Arabidopsis thaliana: one gene and its partners. The protein of the gene in region 1 binds, or shares a complex with, the protein of each later gene. Each region holds a gene or a part of one and is shown on either strand. Other genes may lie near its edges. The genes, in order: AT3G05430, FVE and AT5G40340.

Region 1 (5,879 bases):
ATTATAATCTAAACATTTTAGCTAATAACTTAGGAGTGTACCATATTTATTTAATAGGGGCCGAATGCACTTTTACCAAAATCCACCAAAAAAGTCTTGCAAAAATACTATAGACCCAAATGTACCATATTTTTTTTTGTGCTAATTTTTATGTGATTAAGATTTAATTGATTTCGTATATAAAATATTAAATCGTTTTACGAACTTATTTGTTTATAATTTGGTAACAGATAGATATTTGAATATTCAGTATATTTTGCTTTAGTTTAGGAAATTTTTGATGACCCGTCTTTAAATCCAATAAGCCCTATAATTAAGAGATGAATATTGTCGTTAAATAATTTTGATAATCTTAATGATGTCATTAAAAGATTTTGTTTTTGATTAAATTTTTCTAATGGCATGTAATTAATTACAAAAAGTAAGGTTATGTACTTTCCAAATAATATAGTAGGATATTGTTATGCTCTAAAATGTTAGATCTAATATCAAACGCGCAGAATTAAAACGCATTTGGTTTCAGTTTTCATGCAAATTTGGTTAATTGTTTTTTTTTTTTTTTTTTTGCAGTTTGATATTGGCTTTAAAATAGGAAACCAATAAAGTTTTTTTTTTTTTGGCAAACTGGAAACCAGTAAAGTTAGAAAAACATTCTGGTTTAAAATCGGTTTATATGTCAAATGTGGATATTTAGAGAAAGAGAGATGTTCTATTCACTTTGAATTTTGATACCCTTCTCCAGATAATACTAGTTAATAATACCTAAGGACAGACTTTTGTTTTTCTTTAATGTAATCTTTCATAAGGAATGATAAGGGACGTAACCCAACAAACCCGTGACGTTGGCCACAGCATCGTTACACCTTGTTAACAGCTCCATCATCTGCAGGGAGATGTCCACCTTAAGCTGTGACGGGTCTAGTGGTGGCTCGACGTGGTCCACTTGGTTATTTACAGGCTTTGGTTCTGAGTCTTGTGAAGAGAGAGGAAGAATCGAAACCGAAAATGGTGACTCTGTTTCTTTCTCACCCAACATGAATTTCACTCGTACTGTTCTGTGGTTACCATTACGGTTATTGCCTGGTTTTTTCAAACAAGACTTGAGCTGGATGTTTGGTTGGTGAACCGGCGGTGCTTGCTCTAGTAGCTGGTTCAATGGTTTAGTGATGGGTTTGTCTGTCTTGGGCCTCTTGGCTTTCTTCAGTTCATGATCTCCGGATGCAGAAGAAGCTTTCATGTCACGGAGAAAGTATGTCACATTCACATTGCCAAAGAGAGATTTGCTTCCTGATACATATCTTAAGGCAGTCTGCGCATCGAGTTTATACAGGAAGCCAACACGGCAGATCGAGGATTTCCAGGAAACTCTGATGGCTGATTGATCCAACTGTCCAAAGCGTCCAAACCTCGCCTTAAGCAGATCAATGGAAGGGAGAGATTCACCAGGAGGAAACATCATGACCAGCATTGTTGGCTCAACTACCATTGCAGATGGACCCGTCTTCTTTTCTTGTTGAACTATAGCTGGTTTGGCATTGATGGGAACTCGACATTGGTCTCTTACTGGATTTAAAGGTGCAAGACTTGATCTCTTTGTTGCATCTTGGTTTGTTTTCTTGTCAGAAGCCAGTGGTTTGAACTGAATGGTTTTCTTTAGCTTCTTAGTTGATGGGACATCTTGTTGACTGTCAGACGATATGCGGTTTCTCCCAGCCTTTGATTGTTCATTAGCTCTGCACAAAGTCTTTGCAGATTTTGACAGTTTTGTTGCGGAAGGAGATGTGGCCAAGCTTTTCTGGTAAACATGTGATCGGAAATGAAAAAAGAACTGCCTTATAACTCTAAAAGAACTTCTATCTGAGGATCCAAAGAGAGGGTCAAGCGAGAGAGCTAGCAAATTACTCAACAGCTGCAGACCATCAAGTTTCACTATCAACATATTGGAGCGTCTCTTTGCTGAATCTACTTGTGACGATTTCTTGGCCCAAGCTTCTCCAGAAGATAACGCTTTCCTCTTATCTGGAGTGTCACGGTTCAGCTCTGACACATACTCTTTCTTCTTTTTCTTTGGTTCTGGAGGACAATTCTCAGATTTCATTTCGCCAGAAGACCGTTTCACGACATTGCCTTTCTTGATCCCAACTCCTGCAGAAAATTTCCCACCACTAAAAAGCTTGAGAGAGCTTTTGTTAGATCTAGAATTTGTTCCAGTCTCATCTTGTTTAAGGCTTTTCATTGGTTCAAATTTCTCCTGATCTGGAAATAGAGTTGCTTTTTCTCCCATTCTCACATCTGACTCTTGAGCTAAACCCTTGTCATCATCACGAGAGAGCTTTGAAACAGAGGATTTCTTTCCAGGAATATTACCACTTGAAGAGGTGAAGTTCATGCTGACAAGCCCAGTCTGCTCATGTTTCCTGGGAGTTTGGAGACATGGAGTCCTTCTCTGGAGTAGACGATCCCAAGCTGAAGATCCGTTGATGCCCTGAAACTGAGAAGATTCTTGGACCTGGCCAAATTGAACTGTCATATCACCAGCTTCTTCTCTTCTTTTTGGAAGATATTTGTCTTGTTTAGTAGAATCCTTTACATTCATAGCTTTTGTGTAGCTCTTTGGGTTGCCCAGAGTTTCTGCACTGACCAATGAGCCACTCAAGGGGACTGTAAACACAAGCAATGCATGAGGAAATATGAAATCTATTCCAACCACCCAACACAATGAGATTTCACAATCCAGAATTTAAGATCAAAGATATGCCATATCCTTTTGAGGCATTCTAAGAATACAACTTCATAGCTATAAATCCTACAATAACAACCTTAAGAAAAGCATTTTTGATGTCGAAGGATACCCAAACCACAAAACTCTCGAATGTAGCCTATATGGCTCGAGAAACAGAAAAACAAACTCAACGAGATCACCAATTTATAGAGTACCGTATCTCTGTGATACATAGGAGAAAGATCTAATAAAACTCCATAAAATTCGATTTTGGAAGCAGAAATATTACAAATGTATTCAAAACAATGCCAGGATCGCTGAAAGGTGAATCTACCTCGAAGGGGTGCTCTATTAAGTGGTTCATGTGTCTTCATTAAACAGTATACAGATCTTGCCCTGAAAGCTTGTTCATATGTTTCATCAAACTCCTCAAACACTGCTCTACGGAATGCACAAACCGCTACTTTCTTCTGGAAAGACTTTAAGCTGTCTGTATCACACTCTTGAGGTGCTAATGCACACCGCTTCACAAAAGCTAGAGTTTGCACAGATGAAAAACTATCCCTAGCTTTCTGAATCTGCTTAGAAGAGTAAATAGCTTGGACCTCGTAATCAGGCACGTCTACAGCAAAGTAACCTTGAGCATTAATAGGCCTAAAGTTATACTGATTCCGACATTTACAAGTCAAGCCAAGAGCTGACCTTCTACCTACTTCATTCATAGCTTCTTCCACAGCTTTTGCAAAGTGATCCGAACTAGTTTGCTGTGATTTCTCCTTCACATGAGGTTCAAAAGGGATAAGCTCAGCAGGATCGAACCATCCATAACTATTATCCCCAAAGAAAGCAACCAGAACGTAACCCATCTTCTTCACACGACGAACAGAGGGAGACGCAAAAGCTTCATTGAATATTTGACCTGGCCACCATGGATGTGACTTTACCTTTCCCCAAACCATATCTCCCACTTCAAAACCATAGCTCAATGCCTTCGAATTTCTAGAACCCATTTTCTCCCTCGCAACATAATCGTCAAATTCGGATAAGAAAGATTTGTAGTCCGGAACTCGCCTTTTCTCCATTTTCTTCTCACCAGATTCGTTGCAGAGCTCATAAAATCGGTGATCAGAGTCTCTAATCTCTCTTTTCATTTCACAAAATCTAGGTTCCGTTTCACTGTTAGACACTCGAGAACCTAAATCGACATTTCCATTTCCATCACTTCCAGTGTCTGCAGCAACCGAATCAAGCTCCATAAGGAAAGCTTCGGCCTGATCAATCATTTCAAATTTCCCGGAGCCATTGCCAGAAAAAGTAACGAAACTATCACCAAAAACCCTAGGATTCACATTCACCTCAGCCGAATTCATTTCTCTCTAACCACACTTGAACCCTCGGTGTTAAAGAGCTTTCATAACAATGAAACCCTAGAAACAACTCGAAGCCAGAAGATGCGTAACTTTGTTTAAATCCTGAGATTGTTTGCTGGAAGAGAAAATTTAAGAAATTTCATGAGAGTAAAGCTGGAGAAGATGACAAAAGCATCACTTGGTGAGAAGGACATTTTGGTAACTTCTCAGCGTCATAAATGGTGATGGTGAACGGTCGAACTTCCCATCCAGTAATAGGTTGCCACGTCATGGGACAAAAAAACGTGATCTTTTTATTTTATTTTATTTTGCTGCCTAAAACGTGATTTTTTGTCCACTTACGAAGTGAGGTAAATTTAATTTAATTTTTAATGCAAACGAAGACTAAAGAGTGAAGAGAGTAAGAGACTCGTAAATATAAGAAAATTATGATTGCTGATCGTAAACTGATTTAGTTTTCATAATTTTGTCAGACACTCCCAAAACAAATATTTCAAAAAAGTTAACGAATATTCTGGTGAATCACTTGTATAACAGAGAACAAAGCTAAACATCGGTAGTAATCAAAGCTCGCTAAAAAAATATCTTATTGGAAGAAGAAACAATGCGAGAGACTCAGACAAAAAAAACTATATATATTTCTTTACTGAAAGCAAATATCGTCCGGAGGAAAATGGCATTACCGGACCAAAAATGATCAAGGCGAATCATCATCTTTTTCCTGAGGGCTTCCAGCGAGCCAGCCCCATACGCCACCCGAGCCCTGTCGTTTAGCGTTCATTGCAGCTTGTTCTGAGGCAGCCTTTTGACGTTGCAGGAGTTCGAGTTCCTTCTGTAGTGTTTCCAATGTTTGAAGCTTTTGTCTTAGCTCTGCAACATCAACCTGCAGATTCGGAGAAAGTGACCCAATTAGATTTGCTTTGTTTTTGTTCTTATGACGTGATGAAGCTTATCAATAAATGACAGAGAAGATATGTGATAGATCCAGTGGTTACAATGGATGAATGTTCTAATCAAGATTCCTATTCATCCTGGAATATGAGTATATGTAGTCATTAAATCACGGGTTTCACGAGATTCCAAATTCTGTAGGTTATGGTACAAAAGAGATGTGGCTACGGTTTAGTACCTCCAGTTTGAAACACCTTGATTGTTCGGCTGCAAGTTGGCCACGAACAGATTGAAGTTCCTACAAAATGTCAGTACAAAGTTAGGTATATCATATTCGAGGAAAAATTCCGAGATTTCAGATGTTAAATGTGAATGCAATTGGAAGACTGCTGCAACCAGTCTTTATGAACGATTGGTTCACCAATTTATTCATGTCGGCTTCTGTTTTAAGAAGGTGATAATATTAGTACCTTGTACAAATCTGTGTTTCGTAATTCTGCTTCTCCTAACTCTTGCCTTAGTTGGAGAGTCTGCATCCTCTCTTTGTTCAGTGATGCCTCCAGCTCTTCCTTCTCAGATTTAATAGTCGCAATAATGCGTTCGCTGTTTCCTTCAACCTGGGGATTAATCACCCAAAACATAATAAGAGTGCGAGAAGGTGATGATCCGGACTGGAGTAACTATATTCTGTGTCGACACAATCACTACCACAGCATATATGCATAAGATGCTTCAATTCTCTCAAACAAATCAAAAGGTGGTGCTATGCAAAATATATTAAGGAGGGAAATTTGACAAGAAGATACCTTTGATCCAGGGTTAACATTGTCCATGACAATTTCCCGTACCCTGCCTTCTTGGCTCACCTCAACCTCAGACTCAATGTCTCTGGTTGT
Region 2 (6,394 bases), on another chromosome or scaffold:
AATAGAGTTTCTCGAGCAATTTAAGTATCGTCGGAAAAAGAAAAGAAAATGTAGGTCTAAAAACCCTAATTTTATGAAATACTCCGATTCGTCTACTTGTGATTGATTAGCTTCCCTACCTTATTCCTCAAGCAATACATTGATTCATGTTTCTCTCTTTAGTATCTTTTGGAACAAAAACTTCTTCGTTTGATCTTCTCTGACTGATCTTGACGGTCTCATGTAGGCTTTGTGATTGGATTTTTAAAGTCTCTAGCTCATCAAGAGACTTCATAAAGCCTATTAAGCGGGAGGACCATTAACGTTAAGCCCAATAAAGTAAAACATTATCATATAGTTTAGTTTTATGAAATGACCAGGTGATCTATGTATGATTTGCAATGGTCTGATTGTTTAGTGACTGTTAATACTTAAAATTTCTTCAAAATCCTACGAATAAATCTGTGAATTGAAAATCACCTAATCCTACTGCTAAGCGTGATTAACAGTTTTTTTCTAATGAAAACGACAATGCAAACATTATTTAAGATGCGACGAATCATCAAGAACCCAGTTTCCAAATTTTGCGATGCTTATTACTATATTGTTTTATAATGACCCCTTCTGCTTTGCATTTGAACATCAATGCAACTATTTTTTTTGTAGCCGGGTTGGTCTCGACTAGTTACAGAGAAGGAATCATTAGGTTCAGGCCAAGTATTGAAACCTTAAACCAAAACACATAAAGTTGGTCCGATTTGATTAACATCTCAGTTGAACAAAACAGCACCTAAGAGTCTGATGAAACAGGATCATGAACCAGAACCATGTACCCCTAACTGATATGGAAAGGTCCTAAAAGCTACCACCAATATCTCAAAAGACAAACCAGCCTTACAAAAACCAAGACTCCTCGCTAAAACCCGCATTAGTTTACCATAGGCGATAGATAGATAGACAATGGGTTTTCTTTACTCTTAAGGCTTGGAGGCACAAGTCATAACATGCGACTTGAACTTCTCCAATTCTGCCACGACTTCTTCTTCTGGTCTGTAAATCAAGTCACTCATCCGCCATATCTGCCATAGAAGAAAGTATAAACAACATTTAACGGTATGTCAATAAAATTGCTTATCAAGGTACCAAGAAAGATTTCAAGGTTACCTGCAATGTTCCACCTCCACCAGTAGTCTCACAGTCATCAGAAACACTGACAATAGTCCAAGGGTCTGAAGCATTCCAGTGGAAATCAACAACTTTGTCCCTAATATGGTTTATAAACAAGGGAACTTAGAAGCAAGTAAAATGAGAAAGCAATCAAGAAAAATCAAGATAAGTCTTTAAGAACCTGTGACCAGCATGCTGGAAGAAGAGCCCAGCGGGGCTTTTAGCTGCACGATCAGACTTCTTACTGACCTGATGGTTAATTAAACAAACCAAACATGAGTACAATGAATATGTTTCAGTGATGATAGTGAAGAAAGATTAATTTTAGACATCTGAGTGAACTATGTACACACCCTGTCATAATCCCAGATGTTCAAGAGACCATCTTCTGCAGAGCTCCCAAAGACGGATGACTTATCAGGAGACCACTGAATTGAATAACAAGATAGTGTCAGTGGGTTAAGAGATATACTTCATACAAAGAAGGAAAAAAAAAAAAAAAGTTGATTATACCTGAACACAAAGAACAGCAGCTTTGTGTCCCTCAAATTTGTAAATAGGCGAACCAACTCCATTAGCGGTAAGCTTCCTACGATCAAACAACCGGACAGTGTTGTCTGCTGACCTGAAATATTCATCAATTTCTTAATTAGATACTAAGTATGTATTAATCATCTATTTGTATGTATTTCTCCATACCCTGTCAGGATCAGATTGTCGTCATGAGGATTCCAATCAACACAATGAAGATCAGCATCATGCGCTTTTTCAACCTGGAAAACAAAAAAGTAAGATATAATATCAAAAGGAGGTAAATCTTCAAACTTTTGATAGGATTCAAAAGATAGAGTACCTTCGTGACAGGGTTTGTGCCAGTTCTCGCATCCCATAGTATAAGGCAAGAATCATCACCAACACTGCAGAATTCTTGTGCACTTCACGGTATAAAAGTTCACCAGAAGTATTATTAGAAAATCATGAAAATATCTGCAGTATGCATAAACAAACACGATATCAATAGAAGGAGTCTGTTCTAAGAAGTTACCTCGTCGGGCTGAATGCCACATCTTCAACTGTATCTTCATGGCCATGATATACACCTCGTGGGCCAACAGTAGGACTCTCATTCTTATCAGTACCTTCACCAGTCTGTTTGATGATAGATCCAGATGATTTGGAATCTGTCCCAATCGTTGTGATGTGATCTTGGATACTCCACAAAACAACTGACTTGTCCTTGCCTAAGAGAAGAACTTTTGTATGAGAAACTGGCAAACCACAGGATTGGACTCTACAAATTACAGAAACACAAACCTCCGGAGAGCACAAAGGGTTCCGTTGGGCACATGGCAAGAGCAAATTCAGCATTATCTTGGTGCCCAGTTAGTATCTGCATGAAAAATGGTTCATTCAGATGATGCAAACAAGAAGCACTATTTAAGAAGATATCAAAGAGATTTATCACTTCCAATGATGAGAAACAAACAAGAATAAAGCATAAAACAACATTCTCAGAAGTGGACATACCAAATCTGGACGGGAATTTGCAGCTCCAAGCACAGCATGACGGTTTGGTTGGGTTTCAACATCCCAAATGAGAACCTGAAATCAACATATTGTATTTAGATAACTCTGAAACTGGACATATGTCCGAACAAAGGATGCTCTTTGACTGCCAAATACAGAAATATGAAACCGACATATTTCAAGTTGCTATGACCATAACAAAATAGAAGCAGCACTCACATCAGGACTGTCGGTGTGAGTAGCAACAATCTTACTATTCTGTGGGAGTTCCCTGATTCTGTTAACCTGCAATTGCAAATTAGTAATGAATACACATCAAAATTTACTTTCACCAACGTGCCAAACGAATAACTTCATGGACAGATGAAACAGGGATGCAGATACAATTAACAAACCAAATAGAACTAAAAAGAACAATGTCAATACAGAAATATCTCAAGAGTGGGCAGAATTCACACCTCTCCAGGGTGAATGATGGTCTTGTACTTCTTCACAAATGGAGAACGTGCTTCTTCATTGAACTGAGAACACATTTTCAGAAGATAGTATATAAGTGTCAAACATGAAACCAATTGTAGTGTGGAGTAGGATATGGAAAGGACACAAGCTTAGTATTAAACCACATAATACCTGAGAAATGTGCTCTGCTGCAGCAACCCTTGGCTTAACAACTTCACAATTTGCTATGACCAAAGTATTGGGCACACTTCCATCAGTCTGGTGACACAACCAAGAAAAATACAAATAATACGATGAGAAGTATATAAAGAAGATGAGACAACAAGATACAAGAGAAAGCTAAAAACTTACTTGCTCTGAGAGGTACAGACGCTGGCGATTCTTGTAGGTTGCTTGCTCAAGCTGCGGACCCCATCTATAAAAAAATCAAACAACAATTCACCAAATGGAAACTCTTAGCACAACAACTAAAGACTTCATCAGATATAAACACTCAGAGAAACTGAAAATTCCTCTTAGTCATTAGTAACCAACAAGGTAATCAATAGTAACAATTCATGAATAGAACATCAGATATATCAAGGTATGAAGACAGAGCCACATCCAAAACCCTAACTAGAACAATCGCAACAATCTCACTTAAACCCAGAAATCGAGAAAATGTATGTGTAAGATTTTACTAAATTCATTCCAAACATGAGAATGTTCAAAGCTAAGAAACGATTACGAAACGAAACCCTAGAAGGAGAGGAAAGGAGAAAGGGGGAGACCTGCAAGAGAGTGAAGGCCAGACGAGGTTATGGTTAGCGAGCCAGTCGTAGAGAATGGGGACGAGACCTTTCCACTGAGAGTACTTCTCGTCAACACTCGGCGACTGCTGCGTTTTCTTCCCACTTTCTTTCATTTTAACATCGCTCTGTTGCTGAGACGACGGCGTCTGAGAATCTTCCTTGGTTTTAGGTTTCCGACCTCTCTTCTTCGGCCCAGAAGCTCCGGTTCCTCCGCTCGGTGTCGTTGCTTGAGGAGACACTGCTGCTGCTTCGTCGCTCTCCATTTTCCTCTCTCTCTTTTTAATTTTTCTTTTTTGGTCTTTGCTTTCAGTGTCTCTATATCTCTCTCTCTTCTGCTTTACAAATACAAACAAAACAACCACCGTTTACCATTTTTACTTTGGACATAATACCTGAATCCGAAAAAACCGATCTGAACCCGATCCAAAAATCCCAATCCAAAAATCCCAATCTAAATTCGAACCTGAAATTTTCAAATATCCGACTGAATCTAAACTTCAAAACCTGAAAAACCCGAACCCGAACTGGTACCCAAACATATCTTAAATATAAATATAACTAAAATATTTATATTTATATTTACATATAGACAATATTATGATTTTTCGGATATTTTAGTTACTTTTATGTATTTTTAAATATATTCAAGCAAAACTACTCGGGTTGTTTAGGGAATTTTTGAAATTTTCAAATAATTTAATAGATTCGGACACAAAATTTTGATATTTCAATATATAACTAAACCCGAAACCGAACCAAACCCGACCCGGAATCTTGAATTACTCGAACGGATCTTAAAATTCTAAACCCGAAAAACTCAAACCCAAAATACCCGACCGAATATCCAAACACCCATAATTATTATTTTTTAATTCAGTAAAATAAATACTTTATTGAATAATAATAAAAATTACGGATGAAATAATTAACAGTATAAATTAATTAATATAAGCGTCTCTTACATGGATTACTAACTTTATAATTCATATCCAAACTTGTTGTTCTTTCTTGTAGCTTCTTCTGAAAAAAAAAAAAAGAATAGATCCTCGTTGCATTTTGAAAAGTGATTTAAGAAGATTTCAATGTTTGTTTAATACTTGAACAATAAAGTCCAATATTGTTCAGAAGTATATGACTAAGCTTAGACTTGAACCCTAAGTTTGTTCTTGGTGTCTAAACTTAAAACATTCATTTCATTTGTTCTCTGCTGGCTAAACCTATAAAATTTACCTTTCATTTTATCTTCTTTATTTAAAACATAAAATTGTACTATTTCATATCCCTCTTTGTTCTATGTGAAAAGCTCAATTTTCACTCATGGATTCGACACCAAATAACTTTCTTTGGGACATTGAAAGCCTTAAAATATCTCGAGGTTATGATTTACATGTAGTTGTTCCAAGCTTGAGGCTTTTTCTCAATCCAGCATGGATTAATCTGATGAATATGGTAAATCCGAAAAAAACCTAAACGTCTGTTCGCTCTATTTAATATCTTAATTTTTTTTATTATGATTATAGTTTAGAACTTAAAAGTTATGTATAATCATGTCATTTTAAAATTTCGCTTCAAATCTCTATAATTCTTGGCATTGCACTTCTTATATCACTAGTTTTGACTATTAAGAAACGTTTTGTGCATAAAAATTCAGATTTTTTATGATCAACAAATTAAATAGTGTTAGAAATTTTGTTGTGATTATGAATTTTTTAAAATTCTAACACAATTTATTTGGTAGAGGTGCAAAATAGGTATTAAACAAAAATTTTAGATCTGCACAACATATATGTATACAAATATGTATATGAACTATGCAAATAAAAGAAAAAAAAAACTATTACTAAGATTACTAGGGAAAAATATTGACTCAAATCATCTAATTTATGTTTCTCATCTTACTAATATTAATGTTGATAGTATAGTGGTGTTTCATATATTCTCTAATTGCATATTACATATACATATTTGTATATTTACACCTATTTTCCTATTAACTTAATAAATAAATATTATTTTTTTTGGGACGAAATAAATTGTATTATTATCGTCATAAAACTGATAGGTACAATGAAATTAGTAACGCTAATGAATTTGTCGTCCAAAAATTAAAGATTTGAATTTTTTATACACAAAGTTTTTCGTGGTAGTTAGAGACATGTGATACAAGCATTTAAGATATTATGCATGTAAGGCAAACATGATTTTTAATCAAATGTCAAATATCATGAGTCAAAGATATACTAAACGAAACATAATATCTAGCTTTTTACAAAGCAATTTTCCAAAGGCAACTAAACCCTAATTCTATATTGGAATGTTATTTTACTTAGAACAAGAAACGAGAAGTTCTCGTATTTTTAAAATTATCAATTTTTTATACTTTTACTTTATTATATGTACAATATGTTTCTCTAGATTTCAAAGTTTCATTTATGATCATCTAAATACACAAACAATTTAATCACAAGAAA
Region 3 (6,148 bases), on another chromosome or scaffold:
CAGAACAAAACAATTTACAGAAAATTAAAGAACAACATTACAACTCTAATTGCAAAGGATCGCCGATGAGTGATCAAGGCCAAGTTAGGAGGAGAAACACCGATTCCGAGTCCGCGAAGCTCGGAAATTTGCGTTGTTGCCGCAGTACCGAAGTATTGGAATCCTCATCCTAGTTGCCACGAGCATGATTATTCAAGGTCCGTCCACAAAACCTCAAAGATAGAAGTCTACAGCTTCTCCGAGAACTAACGCAAAAACGAACAAGCAAACATGAACAAGCAAACATGATTAAGCCTAATGTTCTGAATTTGATAATTGAATTTGAAATTGGCCAAATATCTTAATTAACTCTTATACATTATCTGGATACATTTTTTGTGATCAATCAAATGGTTGAATTTGTTCATTGTCTTAGAACATTTATGTTGTTGGATCACTAATTAGCATTACGTAAATGATTCAGTCTCGACGAGACTCCCTTTCTAATAAAAATCTCCAACCTCCCTCTTTGTATGGCTTCATCAAACATTCAATACTCGTCGAAAGGATTTTGAAAATTTTGTTTGTAATATAATAAAATTAGTGGGCTTTCAAGAGAGTGATAAACCAAAAGCCCACTAATGGGTTTAGTATCAAAGTTGGTAAACTTTAAAAAAGTCTACACAAAAACATAGAACATCGATCTAATTCTGTCTACCCTACGACAAGATCATAGTATCACCAAGACATTAACCTCTCAAAATACTTTTGTTATGTTTTGCAGAAACCATAAATATCCTAAAACCTGTCCTGAAAGTTCTCAACCAACAAAATAAAAACATAAAATCATAATCCTAAGAAGATCTCATCTCTATCACTTTCTCCAACAAATTTACCATCTCACCTTCAAGTTTCACTTTCACTTCTTCAGTCATTCCTCCTTCGCATCCATCAAGTAACAATTTCATCTCATCCAGCTTTTTCTTCAGATATTCCACCTCCATTGTCGTCTCTGCAACTTCAGCTTCAGTTTTCTTCTCCTCTGTTCTCTCATTTGGATACTTGAGTCTGAATTTCACCGTCGAATTAGAAGTAAACGGACATTTCTCTAGTGAGGATTCAAAGGCTTTTTCTCCATCAGCTACATCCAAGAAAGCCACATGGGCAGAGAAGTTGTTGTCGACCGTATCAGTTCTCTCTTTGTCCAAAGCTCCAAATTTTTCATATATTTCAATCAGATCTTCCTTTTTAGGCAAACTTGAACCAGGACCAAATGTAACATATAGCTCAGCTCCTGAAAATTCCGTCTCAGTTTCTTTCTTTTTAGACTTTCCCTCTCTCTTCTTTTTCTTCTTCTTCTCGGGTTTCTCAGTCTCATTCGGGACTTCTTCTTCGTCGTGTTTAGGCTTCTTCCGTTTTCTCTCTTTCTTGGTTGATTCAACAGACTCTTTCCGGGTTTCTTCTTCTTCAACTGCTTCTGCCTTCTTCTTTGATTCAGGATTCTTACGTTTTCTCTCTTTTTTAGTTGACTCACTTGGCTCTTTCTGAGTTTCTTCTTCTCCATCTGATTGCTTCTTTGATTCAGACTTCTTACGTTTTCTCTCTTTCTTTGTTGACTCATTAGCCTCTTTCTGGGTTTCTTCTCCTTCACCCCCTTCCTTCTTTGATTCAGACTTCTTACGTTTTCGCTCTTTCTTCATTTTCCCATGCTTGTCTGTCTCATTCTCTTCTTTACCAGTTACCTCTATCTCCTCTGCTTTCTGCTTTGCTTTACCCTTCTTATCTTTCTTCTCTTTCCCCTTAGTTACAGGCTTACCCATCTCACTCAGTTCTTCCTTTTCTTTATCCGAACTATCATAGCTCCCTAAGAACTTGTGATTGGCTCCATCATGATATGTGAAGCTTCTATAGATGGTCATGAATTCTCTTACCATGTCTCTTGAGCTACTGTCTTTTGGATATTGTGTGCCAAGAGCAGCTACACGAATTAGATCCTGCATTTCCTTTGGTGTAGCTCCCAACCTCAGAAAGTCGACGGCATTACTAAGTTCCCTAGACAGTTCTTCTTGACCTAATCCATTATCAGATGATGGTTCACAAGGTTTATCCAACGTATCTTCTTCCACTTCCATGAGGCTATCACTAGCATCAGTCACTCGCTCGTCTACTTGGCTCTGACTTGAAACTTTCGAAGATTCAGATTCGATTGTACTCTTTTTTCTTCCTTTCCGTGAAAAATCTGACAAGAAATCAGGCGAGAGATACTTGCTCTTCTTCCTCTCTCTCTTTGATGTTTGTGTAGCGGTCTCGCCATTTTCAGTACTCCTTTCAACGACTGAATCATCAAACCTTACCTTTTTCCGCAGCGAAGCTAATGAAGTTGAATCGATATTTATTTCCAGATCTGAAATCTCTTTTTCCTCAGACTCTTCTTTGTCTCCACTCCCATCATCATCGCCATCATCCACATCCATTTTCTTCTTCTTCCTCGAAGTTTTGCCTTTGCTACTTTCTACCACTTGCTTGTTACCACCGTCTTCAATTGTAGCTACTTCACTCTTTCTTCTCCTCCACAGTGCAGTAGTAGTTACATTTTCAAGATCACCATTAACTTCATCATGGCGTTTTGTTTTCTTCCTACCCGACTTAACATTTGACTTTACATCTCCATCCGCAGGTTCTGTCTCAAACCTAACCTTAGCAGCTGACTCCTTCTCAATTATTTCAGTAATGCTTTTCTCCTTCCTTCTGTGGGGAAGCCTATGATCAGGAAAACCAGAACACTTCTCTAACGATCTCTGAAGAGACGACGACTCTTCATGATCCAAAGCTGCTACTTCTTCTACTCTAGACCGTTTAGCACGCCATTGTAACCCATCATTAACATTCTTTTCTTCATCATCATCATCATCATCATTGTTCTTGTCTTCAAGTCCTGGAACTGATTGAGGTTCATGATACTCAGTCAAACCATATCCTCTATTAGACCGATAAAACGCAGATACCTTCCTTTTCAATATCTCCAGCTCAAGCAAGCCACTAAAACTAACAGTCTCTGCAAAACTCTTAACATCTTTAAGAATCTCTCCATGTTTACCAATCAACAACGACGAAATCATTTCCCGTCTCACATCACGCACCAAAACACCTTCTTTAATCCCAGCATTGTTAACTAAAGGACTATCAAACTCATGCTTCTTCTCCTCAGCACAATCACATACCAATACACGCTCAATATGTCTACCAATTTCTTCAACCGCCTCTTCCACTGCACCTAGAAAACTCCGCGAATTACTCACTTTCGAACACTCTTTGAAACTCTCTGCAAACGGTTTCAACTGCGACGCACCGCACCAAGCAAATGTCCCGTCTCCGAAACACGCCACAAGCAATTTCCCTTTTTGCTTTATCTTCAAAGCCAAATCTGAAGCATCTGATGGATCATAAATCTGACCTGGCCACCATGGATGATTCTTAATTTTTCCCCACACAAAATCTCCTACACAGTATCCATGCTCTTCTTCTTCTTCTTCTTCTTCTTCTTCTTCTTCTTCTTCTTCATCTTCGCCATCTTCTTCTTCCTCTTCTTCTTCTTCTTCTTCTTCTTCTTCTTCTTCCACATCTTCCTTCAATTTGAGCAAGGAAGAAACTCCATTCATAACACAATCTTCAATAACTCCAGATTCGTTCAAATTCTTCTCATTTTTCTCGTCAACATCAACAACAACATCAGACTTTTTCTCACCGTTGTCGGAAACCCTAACACCGTTCTCTTGAACAACACCATCATCTTTTAGGGTTTTCTCAGCTGATTCAATCTCTGCAGAACAAGGCTTAGGTCCCGCATCTTCTCCGATTCCCAAAACAACTTCAATTTCCATTTTTCTTCCCGACTGTAGAAAAAAAAAATCACAAAACGACAAACAAATCAGAAAAAAAAATCAACCTAACTATTTACACACAAACCCAACAATATCTCCCAAAAAAACAAATTTTGAAATTAGGTTAACTCTTACGAAAAACCTAGAAAAACGAAAATATAAAGTAACAAATTTTTTACCTGATTTTGAGCTCCGAGAGAAACGAAACAACAACTTTTCGAACAGCGACCGAAGAATCTTCAAGAAAAAACACTTCTTTGTAAGAAGAACAAAGACACTCTCAGAATCTCATGAGAAAAATCCTCTCTTTTTTTTCTCTCTGGATTTTGATTTGAGAGAAGATGAAACGCGGCGCAAAAATTTCCTTTCGGAGAAATTTAAGGGTACTTTCGTAATTAATGAGTTTTTTTTTTTGCTTACTTATCTGCTTTTTTTTGCCCCAGGAATAAGACAACGTTTTTAATTTATTTCCCTAAATCAGCCGTGTCGCTATCACAATAAACTGACTAGCTACGAGAGTGTAAAATACAGCTTACTCGCTATGTGTATAAGAACATCAGTGTCTAGATTCTTACGTGGCGGAAATCGGATAGAGAGTAGATAACACGTGTATATGAACGCGAGTGGGATGAAATAAGAGAGACGCGTCACATGCTTTCGATGATTGACAGCTGTAATATGCTTAGACGGCTAATAAGCAGAGTAATAAAAGAATGGAGATTTTGAATTTGGTATTTGAAACGACACAAATATTTGCCGTTTCTCGGCCCAGTCCTTTTCTTTTTTTGCTCGGCCCAAACTTATTATTACACAACACCAGTATCTTAAATTTAGTGCTTGTTGATTAAAGTCTTTTATTAAAACCTCAATCCTAAAGAGTAGGAATCTACCAAGTAAAAGGAAAATCAAAGATCTTTTCTTTTTCATTATTCAACTGACCAACGGTATTTTGATTTTAGACACTGATTATTTTTTCTTTTTCATTCACTGCATTACTTAAGTGGAGTGGTAACGAAAATCTTGGTTATATATATTGAATTGAAAAATATTTGAGTTGAACCCTTATATTCACTTTTTTTATTTTATTCAATTAAAATTTGACATTTAATAATAATAAAAAAATTAATTTACTTATAAAATCTAATTTGTTACTAAAACAAAATTATTTATCGGTTTGAGTTTTATTAAAAAAAGATAAATGTTTAGATTTTATGATTAAACTAGATTTAGTCATTGAATCAATCTTCACACTAATTCATATTCAATCTTTTTGGTCAACTTATGTTACACCATATAAGAAAATCGCTTAAATACATCTTTTGACCCAGTTTAAATGTTTTAATTTTTTTCGTTGAGACTATATAACATGTGAAATCTGTTAGGATAACATTTGATACATCTAAACGTAATTTTCTTGTTGTGTTAATTTTACACGAACAACACGTTCTCATGACATGATTATATGTAGTATCGACGGCGAACCAATATGAATCAACTGTATAATCTGTATTAGAACTGTAATACCAAGTAATAGTGATATATGAATCATATATTTCCCACTACTTAATCATAGTTTGAAAGAAAGCTCAATGACCTTGAACCCAACTTGTGTAAATATTAGTCCATCTCCAAAGCCCAAGGCCCAAGGCAACGTAACAGACGGATCATTACAGTGCCAAGGGAATTCAGACACGTTTAAAATAATTCCGAATTGTAAGTTGTGAACGACCCACCATGTTATCTTTTCATTTATGATTCACATGGGGAATTCACAATTCTCACACGAAAAACATGTGGGCAAAACTAAAAAGACATGCAACCTAATTCAACAAAATGTAATGGTTCATATTTGTACTTGCATAGAATGCATATATAATATGATTTGAGGATGGGTCAAAACTCCAAACGAAATGATTTGAGCATATGTTCTAGAGATTCAGTCAGAATATGAATGCTATACAATCTAAACACTATAAAGCAACCTGGTCATGAGGTGATCTACGTACTCTCTTTGGACGTGAAAAATTATATCAACGGTTTGTCTACTTTATAACTTTTTTATTTATCAGTAAATATGGAAACATTGATTAATTAAGATCCAAGTCTCTTGATGTGATGAGAACATATGATAGCTAAACCAATGCCTCTACTTTTTCTATCTATCCAAATCTAGATTGTGCACCTTAATCTTTTCTACAATATTTATACGCATATCATAAAAATGATCTTAATCTACATGATTAGAAATAAAGGCAAAAACATATATAGATGCAATAGCGAACTTGATT

Evidence for each region.
Region 2: AT3G05430 (region 1) and FVE share a complex: the UniProt entries of both Arabidopsis thaliana proteins name them as parts of the PRC2 (polycomb repressive complex 2) complex.
Region 3: AT3G05430 (region 1) and AT5G40340 share a complex: the UniProt entries of both Arabidopsis thaliana proteins name them as parts of the PRC2 (polycomb repressive complex 2) complex.

What each region holds. Positions count from the first base shown.
Region 1 is NC_003074.8:1,565,958-1,571,836, reverse strand, and holds AT3G05430 (Tudor/PWWP/MBT superfamily protein), read right to left. Parts: upstream 4,214-5,879; 5' UTR 4,093-4,213; coding exon 3,057-4,092; intron 2,662-3,056; coding exon 800-2,661; 3' UTR 619-799; downstream 1-618. Other genes in the region: AT3G05425 (uncharacterized protein), read right to left, coding at 4,232-4,363; ACBP4 (acyl-CoA binding protein 4), read right to left, coding at 4,790-4,975, 5,222-5,281, 5,454-5,600, 5,790-5,879. UniProt on the Arabidopsis thaliana protein: May influence gene expression by regulating the function of the PRC2 complex and modulating H3K27me3 level.
Region 2 is NC_003071.7:8,453,798-8,460,191, reverse strand, and holds FVE (Transducin family protein / WD-40 repeat family protein), read right to left. Parts: upstream 4,437-6,394; 5' UTR 4,187-4,436; coding exon 3,903-4,186; intron 3,548-3,902; coding exon 3,484-3,547; intron 3,391-3,483; coding exon 3,304-3,390; intron 3,195-3,303; coding exon 3,132-3,194; intron 2,959-3,131; coding exon 2,893-2,958; intron 2,749-2,892; coding exon 2,674-2,748; intron 2,537-2,673; coding exon 2,461-2,536; intron 2,388-2,460; coding exon 2,192-2,387; intron 2,082-2,191; coding exon 2,000-2,081; intron 1,920-1,999; coding exon 1,846-1,919; intron 1,772-1,845; coding exon 1,660-1,771; intron 1,575-1,659; coding exon 1,500-1,574; intron 1,396-1,499; coding exon 1,328-1,395; intron 1,244-1,327; coding exon 1,144-1,243; intron 1,059-1,143; coding exon 957-1,058; 3' UTR 550-956; downstream 1-549. UniProt on the Arabidopsis thaliana protein: Core histone-binding subunit that may target chromatin assembly factors, chromatin remodeling factors and histone deacetylases to their histone substrates in a manner that is regulated by nucleosomal DNA.
Region 3 is NC_003076.8:16,130,821-16,136,968, forward strand, and holds AT5G40340 (Tudor/PWWP/MBT superfamily protein), read right to left. Parts: upstream 4,574-6,148; 5' UTR 4,040-4,573; intron 3,873-4,039; 5' UTR 3,861-3,872; coding exon 834-3,860; 3' UTR 577-833; downstream 1-576. UniProt on the Arabidopsis thaliana protein: Together with PDP1, PDP2 and PDP6, interacts with MSI4/FVE and MSI5 to suppress FLC, MAF4 and MAF5 expression by regulating the function of the PRC2 complex and modulating H3K27me3 level, thereby promoting flowering.